4 linked regions of the Schizosaccharomyces pombe genome follow. Changing the gene in region 3 together with the main gene of any one other region gives a genetic interaction. Each region holds a gene or a part of one and is shown on either strand. Other genes may lie near its edges. The genes, in order: mix23, plt1, SPOM_SPBC577.03C and pcs60.

What was found.
Region 1: mutations in SPOM_SPBC577.03C (region 3) and mix23 together harm fitness more than expected from each alone (negative genetic interaction), as found in Schizosaccharomyces pombe (one large-scale study listed by BioGRID).
Region 2: mutations in SPOM_SPBC577.03C (region 3) and plt1 together harm fitness more than expected from each alone (negative genetic interaction), as found in Schizosaccharomyces pombe (one large-scale study listed by BioGRID).
Region 4: mutations in SPOM_SPBC577.03C (region 3) and pcs60 together harm fitness less than expected from each alone (positive genetic interaction), as found in Schizosaccharomyces pombe (one large-scale study listed by BioGRID).

Annotation. Positions count from the first base shown.
Region 1 is NC_003421.2:1,367,224-1,370,254, forward strand, and holds mix23 (protein mix23), read right to left. Parts: upstream 1,232-3,031; 5' UTR 1,133-1,231; coding exon 1,084-1,132; intron 1,046-1,083; exon of another isoform or gene 1,025-1,045; coding exon 570-1,024; 3' UTR 501-569; downstream 1-500. Other genes in the region: ubiquitin-conjugating enzyme Mms2, read left to right, coding at 62-141, 191-254; protein Mug112, read right to left, coding at 1,659-2,036; SPOM_SPCC338.03C (uncharacterized protein), read left to right, coding at 1,696-2,121.
Region 2 is NC_003423.3:3,385,922-3,391,107, reverse strand, and holds plt1 (phosphate transporter), read right to left. Parts: upstream 3,491-5,186; 5' UTR 3,409-3,490; coding exon 3,392-3,408; exon of another isoform or gene 3,346-3,391; coding exon 3,301-3,345; exon of another isoform or gene 3,246-3,300; coding exon 3,225-3,245; exon of another isoform or gene 3,077-3,224; coding exon 556-3,076; downstream 1-555. Other genes in the region: mitochondrial F1-FO ATP synthase peripheral stalk assembly factor Ina17, read right to left, coding at 39-140; diphthamide biosynthesis protein Dph1, read left to right, coding at 3,791-3,994, 4,083-5,186.
Region 3 is NC_003423.3:753,898-758,328, forward strand, and holds SPOM_SPBC577.03C (GCN5-related N-acetyltransferase), read right to left. Parts: upstream 2,672-4,431; 5' UTR 2,387-2,671; coding exon 2,200-2,386; exon of another isoform or gene 2,127-2,199; coding exon 1,663-2,126; 3' UTR 1,288-1,662; coding exon of another isoform or gene 1,253-1,287; 3' UTR 1,074-1,252; coding exon of another isoform or gene 887-1,073; 3' UTR 758-886; coding exon of another isoform or gene 755-757; 3' UTR 514-754; downstream 1-513. Other genes in the region: rpl3801 (60S ribosomal protein eL38), read left to right, coding at 755-757, 887-1,073, 1,253-1,287; tho5 (THOC5-like protein), read left to right, coding at 2,763-3,076, 3,160-3,448; meiotic recombination protein Rec27, read right to left, coding at 3,669-3,849, 3,899-4,054, 4,105-4,145.
Region 4 is NC_003421.2:2,377,697-2,382,233, forward strand, and holds pcs60 (acetyl-CoA ligase), read right to left. Parts: upstream 2,768-4,537; 5' UTR 2,720-2,767; intron 2,641-2,719; 5' UTR 2,328-2,640; coding exon 789-2,327; 3' UTR 556-788; downstream 1-555. Other genes in the region: pcy1 (cholinephosphate cytidylyltransferase), read right to left, coding at 1-431.

The sequences.
Region 1 (3,031 bases), on a different chromosome or scaffold from region 3:
AGCTAATTTTACGCGAAATAAAAAAATCAAGCTTTTTTCAGTTCATACTAACGTTAATTAGGTAAATCCCCACAAAATTGACTGCCTTCGCCATTGGAAGAGAGAATACTCTATGGAAACTGTTCTTCTAGATTTAAAAAAGTATGTCTATTAAACTTCGTATGAATGATCATCCTAACTTATGTTTTAGAGAAATGGCATCCTCTTCCAACCGAAAACTTCCTCAGCCCCCTGAGGGTAGTACATTTTTTTAAAGCAAAAAAGGAACTCTCATAGTACAGAATCTTTCAGCTATTGTTCCTATTATTCGATCGCTGATGGTGGCCTTCTTAGCTTACATTATCCATAGTTTCGACACTATGTGTATTCCTATTTTCCTTTTTTGCTTTCTTTACATCAACGATCCTTAAAACATGCAAATTACATTACAAAATGATAACTTACAATACCTAAAGATATTAATTCTATACCTGTATTTGACATTTTGGTGTTGTGTATTTATGTGTCGGAATTTTTATTGTAAACATTTCTTTTAGAATCATAAAAAAATTTGAGGCTACAAAAAGTAATTAGTCTTTATAAGTGTCTCTCCAATCCTTAAACATTCCAGGACAAGCATTTGTCAGAACTTCCCACGTTTGATCTCGTATGATTTGTTCGACAGATAGTTCACTTTGTAAGACAATTTGTACCTCTTCCGGAGGGGATAATTGCACTTGCACCTCTTTAGCGTAAGGATCCAAACGTTCGGAAACCTGAGTCGTTGATGATGAAGGCAATTGCTGCTGTGATTTTAAGGGTGATTTGGAAGTATTTCGATCTTGATCAAGTTGTGATCGTACAATAGTTTGACATTCTTTTAAGAATTGATCCCGACTTAACCAACCTTCGAACAACTTTTTCTTTACGTTTTGACAACGCTCTTCTTGGGTTTCATGTACCTTCCCTTCTGGGTATTCCCATTTTGCTGAATTAAGAGATAATTGGATGGTATCGTCTATCTTTCTAGCTTTCCTCAAAACATCTAAAAGTATGATTAGTATTGGATGAATTGGTTGTGTAAAAAAAACAGTGTTCGCATACTTTTCAAATACCTTATATTCATGCAAAGACCCCGTTTTTCTTCATTCATTGTGTTTAATATCAATTTTGTTTTCCTAATTAATAGTTTATTAGAGGGGATTTTGGTTTTTGAAAGAAAGACTCAGTCGCCTGGTAAATTCGTTCTTTGTATGTGTGTGCTAATTACCAAATGGGGCCTATTTGATTGAAATGTAGCTTTCGGCTACCATTTGGGATATCAACTAGAATTTTCAACTTTCGATATTTAACATTTAAAAAAACAGCTGATAAAGTAAATGATTGCGAATTGGCAGGGAGGATTTTATGTAGACTAATACTTTTACCATTGTGAATATGATATGCTTAACAATCCAGGTGAAGTTGCCTTTTATCGAGCAATTTATTTTTTAAAAATGTGCATATGCTTGAACTCAGCATATCATTTTACCGAGGGTCTGATCATGACATTGACAATTTCATTCGTATACAATTTAATTCTCGGCAAAAGCAGTTTTTGTGTGACAAAAAATTTCCCCTACTTCATTCATATTTGTATGTTCTCTTGAAATCAAAAGACAACCTGTGTAATCGTTTCATTATTGGTTTTCGGTCAAAGGGGCCAAGGCTATATGCATGGTCATTTCATCAGTGTTTTCAGCTTTTGCAGATATACCATCTGTGTACCTGATTTCTGTGAATTGTGGAGCAAGAGAATTATGGCTCACTATTACATCGATACATTTCGTTTCCTTGAGAGAGCAGCGATATGAATTTTTGGCGAACAGTTTGGGAGAAAGAACATCGTCGCTCAAATCACAAGAAGAAATGGTTTCAGTATCTAGAAATGGAAAACAACTTCTCTCTGAAGCTTCCTTCTTCCGTTTGGGAAAACACGTGCATCTTAATTTTTTGCCCTTCGAGAACACTTTTGAAATGGCATTGAGGAATGATTTCCAAATTTTCTGCACTTCCATATTGTTTACTTGTTATATTCAATCTTTTTCTTTATTGATTTCAAACTTTTTTATAGCGATTGAGGTTTCAAGATCTTTTTTCTGACAAATAAAAATATCTGATCAACGTTTTCTTGGATAGTGATTTTTTTTCTTTTTCAAGAAACAGGATGAAAAGATTCTCTTATCTGTTAAGCATTTGGTGGCTTTAATATTCTGTAAGTTTAGGTGATGAGGAGAACTGTGTGTTTGTTTACCTTGGATTAATATGTAAACAAAAAGCAAATATGTTTTAATGAGCCAATTGTATGATCATCCTTTTGCAAATCAGAAACTTTTCTTTTTCTTTAAAATTGAGACATTTATTGATAAATGTGAAGGGAAACTACAATTTAAACTGTTTATCCATAAGAACCTTCTTTGAGCCGCTCTTCTACAATCAGTTGATAAAATCAGGGCTGCTTTTTAATGAAAATATTTTTTTTGCTTTCTTTTTATCAAAATCTCTTCAGAGTATCACATACTTTCATAATTGGATTTACTTAAAAAGAGGAATTGATAGCTTCTGTTTATAAATAATAAAAAAAAAACTATAAGTATTAAATAGTTATAAATTTATGTATAGAATTTCTTTTAAAAAAAACAGTTTTTTACGAATTTCTATTAAAAAGGGCTTAGTTTTACAGATGGGAAATCTAACTCGCATGAGAAATAACCATTCATTATAGTATGACTGATTTGATGTCGAAAACGAGGAATTAAAATAAAGCAGAAAAAGCAAAAAGAATAAAAGGAAGCCTACAGCACCCCGGATTCCCATGTTGTCTCCAACCATAGTACTAACGAGGCCCTCAGACGCTTAACTGCAGTGATCGGACGGGAACTGGTGTTTTCGCCTAGGTATGGCCGTAGACATTTGTTGTGTTAAATAATAGTATTTATTCTGTTATTCAAGTAGGTTAACTAGTGAGTAGTTCATAGAAAAATAACTTGAGAAATGACAATCTTGATATGAA
Region 2 (5,186 bases), 2.6 Mb from region 3:
TAAAATTTATGACCTAAAGCGTATTTAGAAAAGCTTACATGAGGTGAGATTTCTTTTTGTTGACTATTAAATCTTTTCTGCTGAACTGGCACCTTTTTTACAGTCCATTTCGCAAAATTGATGGGCAATTTGCGTAACATTTTGAGACTATAGGTGATGGTTAATTATAACGTTCCCGCTGCACCATACACACTACAATCTATTTGAATGATGCATAATTTGGTTCATTTCTAATCAAGATCCAAGTTTCTACGAAAATTAGCAACTATTTTTCATATTCCTTAGGTTTTTGTGATTAGTTATTTGTTATTTTTTTTTGCCAGTCAATTTGAAACAAAGGAGAGATAAAATTTGTTTTGTATCGTATTATAAAGTGAACATATAAATACATTAAGATCCGTAGGAACACTAAGCTACCATAATTTTATCTTCGAATGCAATGATTTAAAATCTATTTAAGTAGAATTGACAAATATGAATGTGTTATGCAGCAGAACATGCTTCGACTCAAAAATTATAAAAAGAAAGATACAGTACCGTTTACAAATTAGGAGGTTAAAATCCAAGTGCTCGCATGATTGGTGTTCCAATTAATAGGAGAATCACGAAGGAAATTAGTGTGGCAGGAATACCAGCTTTTAAAAAGTCACTAACTTTCAAATATCTTTTGCCAGCTTCATTTTCCATCATGATAGCTGTCATATTAGGAAAACCACTGGTTGGCAAAGCCATAGCAAGACTACACATCATTCCCGAAGCCAAAACGAAAAGACGTGGATGAGGATCGGCAAGGCGACTTCCAACTTCATGGACAATGGGAAGTACCACCATTGCAGCTACTATATGAGAAATAAATGAAGAAACAACAAGAGTCAAAGCAGAAAAAATAAGCAGTACCCTAAATGTATTAAGGGAAGAAACAGCATTACCTATTTTAAGGGCAATAAGTTCTAAAAGGCCGGAAGAAGACACTACTTTTCCTAACGCAACACCTCCCATTGCCAAAACTATGACTGTCCACAAAAAATTATTAAAATCCTCCTTGGTTAACAAACCTGTTCCGAAGAATACAATGATTGGGACTAATGCAATAACACCCATATCACCAAACACCTCATCGAAGCGGCGTTCAAGGCACCAAAGGACTATAGTACCAATCGTAACAATGGAAATAAACCATTGGACACCAGTAAATGTATCCTTGGTGGAGCGAATTTTAGCTAAAGTGATGTGCTCATCTTTCAGTAATCCAAAAGACAACAGAAACCATATAGAAAATATACACAGTAACGATACAGGAATACTGACGGCAAACCATTCACCCCATCCCGCAGCGGGATCCATATTCTGTAGCGCAACAATATTTTGTGGGGATGAAATAGGCGAAGCAATACCTCCAACATTAGATGCCAAAGCAATACCCACAATTAGTATCTTTGCAAAATCGGACTCTGCTGGTAAATTTCTCAGAAGGGGCTGAATAATAGAAAAACACAACACTGGCGCAGCAACGTTGCTAATCCACATACTAGCAAACATGGCAACGAACATGTTTGTAAGAAGCACGCTTCTAGGCTTACGCCCTGCATGCGCTAAAATGGAAGTCGCCAACCTTTTAGCAATATGATATTTGCTTAGAGCAGCTGCAATGGTAAAACCTCCTAAAAGCAAAACTATAGTTGGATTCCACATCGAACTAAATATAACCTTTGTTGATTCCTTTCCAGAAAGAGGTGAACCGTTCTCATCTCTCAAAATTTTCAAAAACACAGTCATAAAAGGAACCAAAAACGAAGTAACGAACAAAGGAATAGCCTCCGTAGCCCATAATAAAGAAACCATTACTAACAAAGCCAAACAATTGTTCTGTTCCCTATTATCTATGACAGGAAAACTTAATAAGAGAATAAATATAACGATAATAGTAATTAAAGTTGCAATCGTGCTATTAAAGAAGCATCTTGGGATTCTAAAAACACCAAATTTAGTTTTGATTGTAAAATAGGGGGGCTGTTCTGATTCTTTCTCATCAGCTGCGACAGGCTTCAGTCCTGATAATCTCGCGGCCTGAGTACGACGCTCCATAGCCATCATTTCACGCCAAATAGTGTTCCTTTCCCATGCAACGTATTCACGAAGATGACCACGAAGGCGACGGATAGCCACAAATGTATCGCCTTGACAGCATAGCTTAGCATACCACTCTGCAACAATATTTAAACGCTTTGACAATGTTTTCCCAGTAGCAGGAAGGAAAGGGTAAGCTTGGTTGACGCGCTTCATGTACGATTCACGAAGGCTACTACCCAAAGTTTTATCATATTTTTTTAAGATTTTTGAAAAACCAGTATAATTAAGATGGACGTACGAAATCAAGTCATGAATTGAAACATACAACTGTGTCAGTTTTCGCTTTAAAGAAACGAAGTTTTCGTACGCAACAATATCAGATGGATATTGTTCAATAAGCAACCATCGATTGTTATTGTTGTTATCTTCGTCTTCATCTTCGTCCTCATCTTCATCATCATCATCATCATCTTCCTCCTCCACCTCATCATCATTGCCTTGTACCTCAGGTTGAGCTTCTGAATGTTGTTTTTTTGATAAACCGTTTTTAGAAGTATCGACATCATGAGGTTCAGACGGTTGAATAGCAGTAGATTCTGCTCTAGATATAGCAGGGGCCGCATAACCTCCATCACTAGTTTGCCCATTGAGATATATCTCACGGTTTGAAGAAGTAATGCGAGGCAATTCTTGGCTGCGGGCCATACGACCAGATTTCCTACTCGCTGAGCTCTTTTGTAATCGTTCAGGGGTAGGGTAATTAATGTTGTTTCCCTGACTCATATACTCATTCTCATAGGTTTCAAATTCGCCCTTAATTCTACCATACTGATCAGCAATTTCTTTTTCTTTAGGAGCATAAAATTCAACAATTCCTTGTAATTCCTTGTCTAAAGCAAACATAAAGCGATCATCGGGTGATCTTCTTTCGTGCTCTAACAGCCTAGTTTCTTCATCTGGAGCGCCTTGTTGTAATGTTATCTGTTCATGTTCCAATGAATAAATACTTAAAAATATATGTTAGCAAAATTCAAGTACAATTTTATTCTCCGGCTGTTAATCAGACATTATCCCAAATTTCGCAAGTATGAATTTGTCGGAATATAGGATATATCATAATAGCCAGTCGTAAGCTCGAGAATTTTCAAACATACAGCTTCTTAAGGTTCGAGTAACTAAGCACCGATTGTTAGCAAAAATCGGAAGTAATCCAACAGGTTGTTTACTTACGCAATGTAGCTTTCGGACCATTCCGGTACTGCATTAAATTGAAGACTAAAAAGTAATTAGAACAAGTCTTGTGAAAACTGATGCAACAAACCTATGACTGAATTTCATCTTGGATGACAGAGGTCATTTAACTTCAATTGTGACTAAAAACAGCTTTAGCTTATTCACGCAAATTAATTTGGAACAATCTAAAGGAGCGTTAGCCGTTCAAATTTCGTGGCCTATGATCGGAGGTGAAGCTGTATTCGTGGATCCAACCTCCGATAGAAATAGCGTAATATAACAACGTGTGTTAAATAATATAGCAAAGTGCAATGCTTTTTTACTTAGTAAATTATTTGGGATCCTATTGTATTTTAATTTAACAAACAAGCAATTTGCAGGGAAAAAGGATTTTTGGCATTCTATCAATTTAAATACATACATAGCATTGGTTACTTCTTGGGATTTCAAAGGGTTTTAGTAATAGACTTTATAATTTTAAAACACAATGGCGGAAGTGAAAAAATCAATTCCAAAACGTCGTTTTGTTGGCAAAAAAAATAGGAAGGAAAATAATTTGGATGGTTCTAATAGAGATGTTGAAAATGCTGCTCTCGTCACTATTAACTCCAAGAGGAGCGCTGGACGAGTAGCTACTCAAATCCCAGAGGATATATTAAACGATAAAGCAATTAATGAAGCTATAAAATTGGTAAGCTGCTTTTATTAGAGAAAGATGCCGTAAATTAGTTTCTTCTTTTCTCAAAAACATCAAAGCTTGGTCAGCTAACCTTTAATAGTTACCGCAAAATTACAATTTTGAAATTCACAAAACCATTTGGCATATTCGCTTACGAAAAGCAAAACGTGTTGCCTTGCAACTTCCCGAGGGGCTATTGATGTTTGGTTGTATATTGTCTGATATTTTTGAACAATTTTGCCAGGTCGAGACAATTGTGATGGGCGACGTTACATACGGTGCGTGTTGTATTGACGATTTTACAGCTAGGGCACTCGATTGCGATTTTTTAGTACACTATGGTCATTCTTGTCTTATACCTGTTGATCAAACGCCCATAAAGGTGCTATATGTTTTCGTGGATATAAAGATAGATTTGCAACATGTCGTATCATCTTTAAAACATAATCTACCCTCCAATTCTAGGTTAGCTTTGGTTGGAACTATCCAATTTGTTGGATCTCTCAACTCTATAAAAGACGCTTTGCAAATACAGGATGAAGACGGAAAGGGAGGTTTTTACGTTGTTATTCCACAAGCAAAGCCATTATCTCCTGGAGAGGCGTTGGGATGTACATCTCCCTATATTGAAAAAGGATCTGTAGATGCATTAATTTACATTGGTGACGGAAGATTCCATTTGGAATCTGTCATGATTGCTAATCCTGATTTGCCCGCATACCGCTATGATCCTTACTCACATAAGCTCTCTATTGAATCTTATGCTCATGAAGAAATGAAATCTATTCGGTATTCCGCCGTTGAGAAAGCTCGTACCGCTAAAAAGTTCGGTCTAATTCAAGGTACACTGGGTCGACAGGGGTCTCCTAAGGTACTCGAAAATTTAAAGAATACTTTAAGGAAAAATAATAAAGATTTCGTTTGCGTTTTAATGTCAGAAATTTTTCCTAGTAGATTGGGTCAATTCTCTGATATTGACGCGTGGATTCAGGTCGCTTGTCCAAGGCTTTCCATAGATTGGGGCTATGCATTTCCCGCTCCATTGTTGACACCATATGAAGCATCTGCTGCTTTTAATGTTGTTCCTTGGAAGGAAGTTTATCCTATGGACTTTTACGCTACCAATTCATTAGGTAATTGGACTCCAAATAATCCCGAAAATCGACCTCTGCCAAATCGCAAAAAAACCGGACCCGTTTCTTCT
Region 3 (4,431 bases):
GAACGAAAGCAATAATTATTTTGACACTTGAAAGGCAATGTTTAAGCTTCGTTGGAATTTCTCATGAGTTTATTTAAAAGTCGTTTCCGTCGTGGAACAAAAAATTCGTATAGAAGCACGCTCATATAAATCAAACTTCCTCTATATGTAGTAGTTAGTATGCTTTATCTTTATAATTCACAAGAATGCTGCTATGTTGTTAATACTTTGTAGACAGACAGATAGAGCCTTGATCCACATTTGGATAGGATGAAAGCATTTTATTGTAAAAATCTATTTTTTCGCAATTGATGTAATATAGTTTTCAAAAACGAAGAGCATAAAGTCGTTTGATCCTAATAGAAAGATGTAAAAGATATAGCAAATGGATATGTAAATCTATTGAAAACATTTCTTTGTTGTTACACTTCATCTATCAATTTCCAAAAACATTATGCATGGAAAAATTAAAGTATTAACTATAGATTAAGATATAAATATTGACCATCTCTTATTCTATTTTTTTTTAATTTTATTATCACGTACACTTAGTATATACCTGAGCTAAGCAATTTAAAAAACGAACTTCAATCTAACGCCCATTCAAGCAGTATAGTGAAGGATAGTGTTAATCCCCTTGAGCGAATACCGGCTGATTAAGAGCTCGTAATTTCTTTTTAACGAGTTACAAACCATTCGAGTTGTAAAACACAGTCACAGAAATTTTGATAAACTGGAAAGAATGAATTCTTGGTCTTTCACCAAGCTCAACAAAATGGTAAGTGAGATAAGTAGAGGTTTCAGCAGCTTATGGAAGAGAAAACTGTTTTCATCTTTCGTTCGTTAAAGTTGTCTCTGTAAAATATATTCAGTGTTAGGAATGACCATCGACTAATGCATGTTTTAGCCTCGTCAAATCAGTGACATTAAGCAATTCTTGGAGATCGCTCGCAGAAAGGATGCTACTTCTGCCCGCATCAAGAAGAACACTAACAAGGACGTTAAGTTCAAGCTTCGTTGTTCCAAGTACTTGTATACCTTGGTTGTCGCTGACGCCAAGAAGGCTGAGAAGCTCCGTCAATCTCTTCCTCCCGGTATGTTATATAAACTACTAAGAAAGATTAACTCAGTTACTTTTTATTGAGGGAACTACATTTCCTTAAAGCATTTTGCGAAGGAATTCTTCCTAAAGCGTTGATAATTCGTGAAACAAATGATCAGCTCTGAGTTAATCGTTCATATAAGTGAACTCAAGCTAACAAGTTTTCTATAGATTTGACCGTTACTGAGGTTGGAAAGAAGGCATAAAGTTTCTGGTTGAGTGATTAATGAAAAAGAAACCTCTCATGGTTTTTGCATTCAGTTAAAAACAAAAATTTTCTTTTTCAAAAGTAAAATGATCAATAAAGATTGTATTCATATTATTTTGTAATGTAATGTAAAAATCGAAGAGTAGAAATCGGTGAAATTATCCAAGTTGTTCACGAATTTTATAAGCAGACCCAATTCGCGATTATAAAATAAAGGTCTGTATGTAAATAATTGTTGTTGCGAGATGAGAGGTATAATTAGCCATAGGGTTGTGTAGAAAACAATTTTTAATAAACCCTTTTAAAGTAGTTCGCTGCATGTAACACTTGCATAAAGTAAACAAGTAAATAACTTTAAGCGTTGTTGCATCGCTTATGAAGTCCTCATTAGTTCAAGCTCTACATGATCAAAATAAGCGTTGTACTTAACTTGAGAGAAGCCCAATTTCTTGAATAGCCGAATACTAGGCTTGTTTTGGGAGCCAACTTTGACTCGATACTTAAGGATTTGCTTATTTTTGGCAATTCCACTGGATTCAACATAGTGCAAAAATGCATCTACAATCTTGGTTCCATATCCTTTCCTTCTATTCTGAGGCTCTGCAATCATCAATTCAAGTTCACCTACTATATGTACCTCTGACTCCTTCGTAGCATTGGTAGCATTAGCATCACTGGGAGAATCATCAAATTCTTCTATACCGTCTGCGTATTCCTCAGTCAAAAACATGTTCACATCCCCAATCATTGATTCAACGCTGTGGGCTTTTACATGATCCAAAATTGAAGGTTTCTTAGCTTCATCGTTTTCGTTTAGTAAAACGATAAACGTCAGCTCTATATCGTTAGAAAATGATTAGAACTTGTGATGCAATTGATCAATCACGAATGTTGAACCATCATAACATACTATCTTCATCAGTACTCCATGAGGCCTGCATTTGATATTCTTCGTCAAGAGTTAAAGGCTCTGAACAAGTAAGCTCTTGCAATTCCTCATTTTTCATCCAGTTATGGTATTTTAACACATGGCATTTTTGATATGGCACGAGAATCAAGTTGCCGCAATCAACAGTAGTATTTTGATTAATTTTCATTGAAAGCACACTTTTTTTTACCGACTCTTCAATAGCCAAATACTCACTTATTCCAAATGTTTACAGTATCAATCAAAATGATACCGAACCGTGAAGTTGAATATATGCAACGGATAAAAAAAACGTGATTTGATGTTTAGTAAAATAGTTTTACGAGAACTCTGATTGAAAAGACATTCAACGAAAATCTCTCAAATATATACAATAAATTCAAGGCTCAACTTATAAGAAGTTAGTTTTAGTCAGTTAACCTTTATGGTAGTAAAGGCGTAGCTATACTGAGTTGACGAGTTAAGCCCAAACGTCTACTCTTTTAAACAATTTGGAAACCTCCTCCTACAAAATTTCCAAGAAAGAGTAGTATTTCGTCGTAAAAATGACAGAAAATGCAATATCAGATTGTTTGAACGTTCTTGACTCAACTCGAACATTGTGTTTGCGAATTCATGAGTTGAAACAGCATAGCAGAGATGCCGACGATCAAAATCCCGAGCAAATTAAACGACAGTTAATGTCAAAGCTCTTAATCTTGCGAGAAGCAAATAGAAAATCTTACGAACAGCTCGTACAAGCAAAGACTATAACAGCCGAACACAAGTCTGAACTCGATAACGCCCGTATACGGCTTCAGGCGTTACAGTACAAAAAGCTGCATTTAAAAACGATAATAAAAAATTACGAAGAAAAGGAGTACGTGAAAGTTCCTTACCTTTTTTTTTTTTTTTTTCAGATTTCAAAAGTCTTTGTTCATTTCTTTCTAACCATTTTAATAGACATATATACACAGCGTTACCACTCGTCTCAAAAGAAGAATTTTTGAAGGAACACCCGGAATTTAAGAGTTCGAATGATCATGATCTAATGCTTGCGATTCTTGAAGACGAACTGAAAGAACGTCAACGACTTTCCACCTTAAAGCAGGAACTTTTAAAGAGGAAAGCTGCATTAATATCTGAAAATAAAGCAAAGAGGAATGCATTGCAGAAAGGAGATGAAAAGCTGCAGACTTTCCTTCGCTCCAGCGTGCCTGTCCAGGAGTACTATAACATTACCTCCATGTAAATTATTCCCATGAAAACTTATGTGTTTATTCATTTCATTTACTACCCATTTTTTAGCGTTTAATAAAAAGAACGGATTTAGATTTTTAGAAACGATTAGCCTCACTTTACTTTTTCAATTCTCAAGTTTGAAGTTTCAATTAAATTGTATGCTCATAACATATTTTTAATTCGTTTTATGATTTTATGGCACTAGTTTATATAATGTGTTTAAAATGACTTTATACTTCTGTATTTGTTGGTTGGTTCATTGGGGTTTTAACAACAATTCGCAGTTTCTCGGCATACTGTAACAACTGATTGCGTATTTCGATTTCGAGTTGTTGTTTTCTAGCTTCTATAGAAAGCTTTTCTTCGTTCAATTGTTTAATTTGATTCGCTTTTTGTATCTCAAATTCCTTTCTATAATTTGATGTTAATGACTGCCAGGATTACCGTTTTATTTTCGTACATTTTCTGTTGAACCTGGGAAACATCCTTTATAAAAGCCTTTTTCTCATTTTCTATATTGGTCTTGTATTCGCTTTCAATTTGGTCATACTTTTTGACGCGTCTTTCAATGTTTTTGAGGTTTAACTCTTCCAAAACATGCTCAATTATTTCAGAGCTGATTTAATTAGTATACGTTTATAATTATTTTTCCCTTTACTTTCATACCTAGATTGATCCGAGCCTAATGTTTCTGATCTTTTCTTCATATTCGTATTTGTTAGAAGGAAAGTTACCATAATTTATTTATATCCTAGTAAAAAATGGCAGGCAGCAAATGACTCAAAAATACATACCTAGTTATTTGAAGTTGTTTTTTTTTTAAATTAACATTCATAAAGCCTTTACAAGAGTGAGTTGCCATATGCTAAAATATACAACAGATACTTGACAATGCGATACCTGTAAACGCGTTTCATTATTCAATAGTTAATGTGATAAATTATCGTACTACAATACAAAAAAGACATTGCAGAAGAAACTATTATGACTGAA
Region 4 (4,537 bases), on a different chromosome or scaffold from region 3:
TGAGTCAATTGATCGTTGGGAAGACCAACAATAAGATGCACATTAGGAAATACTTTTTTGGCCTGTTCTAGTTGTCTCATATGCCCAATATGAAACAAGTCAAAAACTCCATCGGCGTAAACTCGAACAGGACGACCCTCAGGAGGATCATTGATAGGGTAACTAAAAGGAGTGGACAGCTCTTTAAACCGAACATCACGAGGCTCCTCCTCTACAGGTGAAACTGATTGAGATATCTCTTCCAAAGATTTAGAAGGGCTTTCCTCTTTATCATCTTCCTTCTCATCTTTCTTTTCTTGTTCTTCAGGTTCATCAATCTCGAAATTATACTTCTTCGTCTGTCTTTCTACATTATCTTCTTTTTCAGATGGTTCCACTTCATCTATTCTTCTTTTGTGAGTATCATTTATCTTAATACCTTCTTCTCCCATAATTGTCAATTTCCTTAGGTTGTGTTACGGTTTTGCGAAGTTCCGGTTTGTGGTGCAGTGGACACATACACATTTTAGCTAAATTACAATACATACGATTTTTATGCTGACCATAAAAAAATTGTTGAACGCTACAAAGACTTAAAACTCATTATTATTTTTTCATTTAAATCTACAGCAGTATATAAGATAAGATGGAAATACTTTTCTAATGTGATCTAAAATAGTTTATTCTAAGTATTGAATTCGATACAGTTAATAACAAAATTTCATCGTGTGCTTTATAAACTCGTAACTAAAATAGACAAATTAGCGAGTTTTGGGGTAAAGAAGCAAAATATTGAGTACCAGATACTCTTAGAGTTTGGCCTTGGAGTGATTGAAAAAGGCGTCGCAGACCAAACGACGTTGCACTTTTCCAGTAGCAGTTTTAGGGATACGATCAGTAAAGTAAAACTTTTTAGGGATTTTAAAAGCAGCAACCTTCTGTTCTAAATAGTCATGTAACTGCTTGGGGGTTACTGTTTTTCCAGCAACAGGGTTAATAGCTGCTTGGATGTCTTGTCCGTATTTTTCGTCAGGAACAGCAAAACAAACAGCTTCGGAAACATCAGGATGTTGCATTAAAACAGCGTCAATCTCAGCTGGAGAAATCTTTTCACCACCACGATTAACAAGCTCCTTGATGCGACCAGTAATAAAAACGTAACCGTCTTTATCAAGTTTGCCCTCGTCACCAGTACGGAAAAAACGATCTTTGGTAAAGGATGACTTATTCGCAGCAGGATTGTTCAAATAACCCTTGGTAACGTTGATTCCGCGAACACAAATTTCTCCCTCTTTTCCTTGGGGCATTTCGTTACCTTTCTGGTCCAAAATTTTGAGTTCAACTCCAAAAGGCTTACCAACTGAATGAGGTTTGTGTACCAAAGGAGGTAAGGGATTGGTAGTCATTTGATGAGAAGCTTCGGTCATAGCATATGCCTCAAGGACAGGAGCACGGAAGGTAGCCTCTAGTTTGCTTAAGACTGGTGGTGCCAAGGGAGAAGAGCAAGAACGAATGAAACGAATTCGAGGAAGAGGTTTGGGAGGAGGAGTACGGAGAAGGATTTGATGAATAGTGGGGACCGCAGTATACCAAGTAGCACCATACTGAATAAACTCCTTCCAGAAGCTGTGAGCAGAGAATTTGGGAGGTACAACGGCACATCCACCAGAAGCTAAAGTAGAAAGGAGGCCACAAAGAAGACCGTGAACGTGAAACAAAGGCATGACAACGTAAGAAGTATCTCTTGGATCCAATCTATAAGAGGTAGTAATGTTATGGATGCTACGGCACAAGTTTTTGTGAGTCAAAGGAACGACTTTAGGGCGTCCAGTGGTACCACTAGTATGTAGGACAAGCATAACGTCGTCGGGTTGAGGAAGACCAAGTGGTTGAGGAGCATTAATTTTGGCTCCTTCAAAGTGAACAATGCGAACTAATCGAGACTTGGGACACCAAGCAAGTTCGGCCACTGCGACAGACAATTTCTTAGCAGCACGAACAGCAGGGGTATTTGCGGCAACGGAGCCTTCGGGAACAATGACGAGTTTACTTTTCAGATCATCAATGTAAAACTCAAACTCGGATTGCTTGTAGTTGGAGTTCAGGGGCCCACAAATAGCTCTTTGCCAAGAAACAGCGTAAAAAGCTACGACGAATTCCAAGCCATTGGGAATAGCAATGTTTACAGGGTCTCCAACTTTTATGCCAAGGCTGGCAATTTGGCGCTGAAGATCCATAATAGCAATTCGAAGCTCACTGAATGATAGTTCTGCATTTAAAGAAGGGGCTACCAAGGCTCTCGCACTAGCATCACCTTGAATAGCTGAATATAAAGTAGTAAAAGACATTTTCAAAATTCTAACACCAAAAAAAGTTTATATATGATAAATTAAATAAGTAGTAATTCAAAAGTAAGAATTACAATGTTTAACCTCCTCAAATGCGGATTAAGGAAGCAGCAAAAGGAATGAGTTTACACGGAAAATGAGTTAAAAAATCGGATAGATAGGTAAGACACTAGTAAAGCTAAATACCTAAAAAGTTTTTCAACGCACGAATAATAAAGAGTTTCTTCAAGAAAAAACTACTCAAGTATTGAAAAAAAATCTTTTAGACGAGAAATCTTGAAAACTTCCCTAAATCCTTTGTAATTGGTTTTTACTTGTATATGTTAGTCAAATGTAAAGTGAGTGTTGAATTAAGTGATTAAATCTTTTATTGCTTCATTAAAATAACGTACAATGAACCAACTAAAATATTCTTCTTTTAATGAAGGTAAGTTTTTGTTAAGTTGAAGAAATCAAGAATACAGTACTAGACCCGATTGCAAATTAGATCCCCTAAATTGCGCAACAGATCTAGGCGCGAACGCAATGATTTATCCGGTATTCAAAGGGAGGTGGTAGTAACGAAATTTACGGTAAGAGTATAACAAGAAAAATATGGATTCCTTATTCTGGACTTTTATAGAAATTAGTTAAAAAATATTGATGAATGAAGAATGGCATTTATGGTGGTTGCATCGAATCGAATTCATTACTAATGGAATTGATTTGTCTACATTAGTGATTCTTCCTATCTTTTGCAAATTAAATGAATTCAACGGAAATGACTCAAAGGTATAATACTAAAGCACCTCCAAGAAAAAAAACTAAGTTGGTAGAATTAAATTTCTGTTTTTCTGAATTTCACAAAACTAAGCGTTTCAATTGAGAAAGTTATTCATTATCTCTTTTAATCATTAATTTCGCTATTATGTATAAATTATTCTTCATAAACTTGACTTATATTAGTTTAAATCGATCGCATTTGCATGCTTGCAAATGCTTCGATACTTTCCATTTGTCAATTTTTAAAATTAATGTAAATAGTGCTTTACAGCAGATTGAAAAAATTGCTTGCACTTAATTATCTACTTAATTAAAGGACGCTGGAATATACAGACAGGTCTCTCCGTTCTCAATCTAAAAGGGATTCATCCAGTTTAGTTGTAATGGAATCATTTCAGCATTGTACCAAGTATCAAGTTTTTTACTGGATGAATATAAATATAAATTAATTGAAGTAGTTTTTTTTTTAAATCGAGAGCTATATGTTTGAAATGTGTTAGTGCTTTTGTTAATATTTCCCAAATAGAAACGGTCGAGAAAGAATTATTATTTGACAACGAATCCCTCAAGTAAAGTAAGTATAATAAGGGAATCCTAAATATTGAACTTCCCTGAGTAAAAACCGTTGATGCTGAATCAAAATATTCCTATTTCGGGTTCTTTTAAACTTTTTTTATGGAAAAGGACATGTTCCTTAAATTCGTCGGCTAGGTAAATGTTAAAAAATTTATGCGAGATTACAATGTCAATGTCACTTGATAAAGTAATCCACAGTAAAGTTTACAATGATTAAACAGAACATTGCAAACGATGTTTGAAGTTATAGGGATTTTTACGTTGAAATTAAACGGGTGGTTTGTCGCCTCAAATTCACATGGTCTATCTCTGATACGTCCGATATTGCTACTGATTTTAGGAAATTATACTGGTTTGTTGCATTCATCAACGCCTTGAACACTGAATTAAATCTTCTCTTTTTTTAAACTAATTCGCACTTCATATTTCCCGCTATCTCCCATTGATTCATAAATTAGTAGCGTGAGCATATGCGAAACAATACCTGCAAAATATGTGGATTATATCATCTAAATAATTATTAGTATTCACTGCAAAGATTAAAATTCCTTTTTCTTAAAAAATTTATTATATATACATACGTAAAATTCTTTCCTCAATTTGATGTCTTAAATTTGGTGGTTTGCTTGAAGGCATATTATTCTCAAGATAATAAAATTTTTTTTTTTTTTTTTTTTTTTTTTTTTACAAAAATAATATTAAACAATCATGCTCAGTCAAATTTCAAGTGACGAATTAATTTTTGGTATTTATTTTTTAATACGAAAAGGAATATATACAAATTGCGACTGCATCTAATATAGTTTTGAATTAGCTAAAGCAGTAGCATAATTTTTGCACTATTAATTTAAATAAATATTATTACAATCACC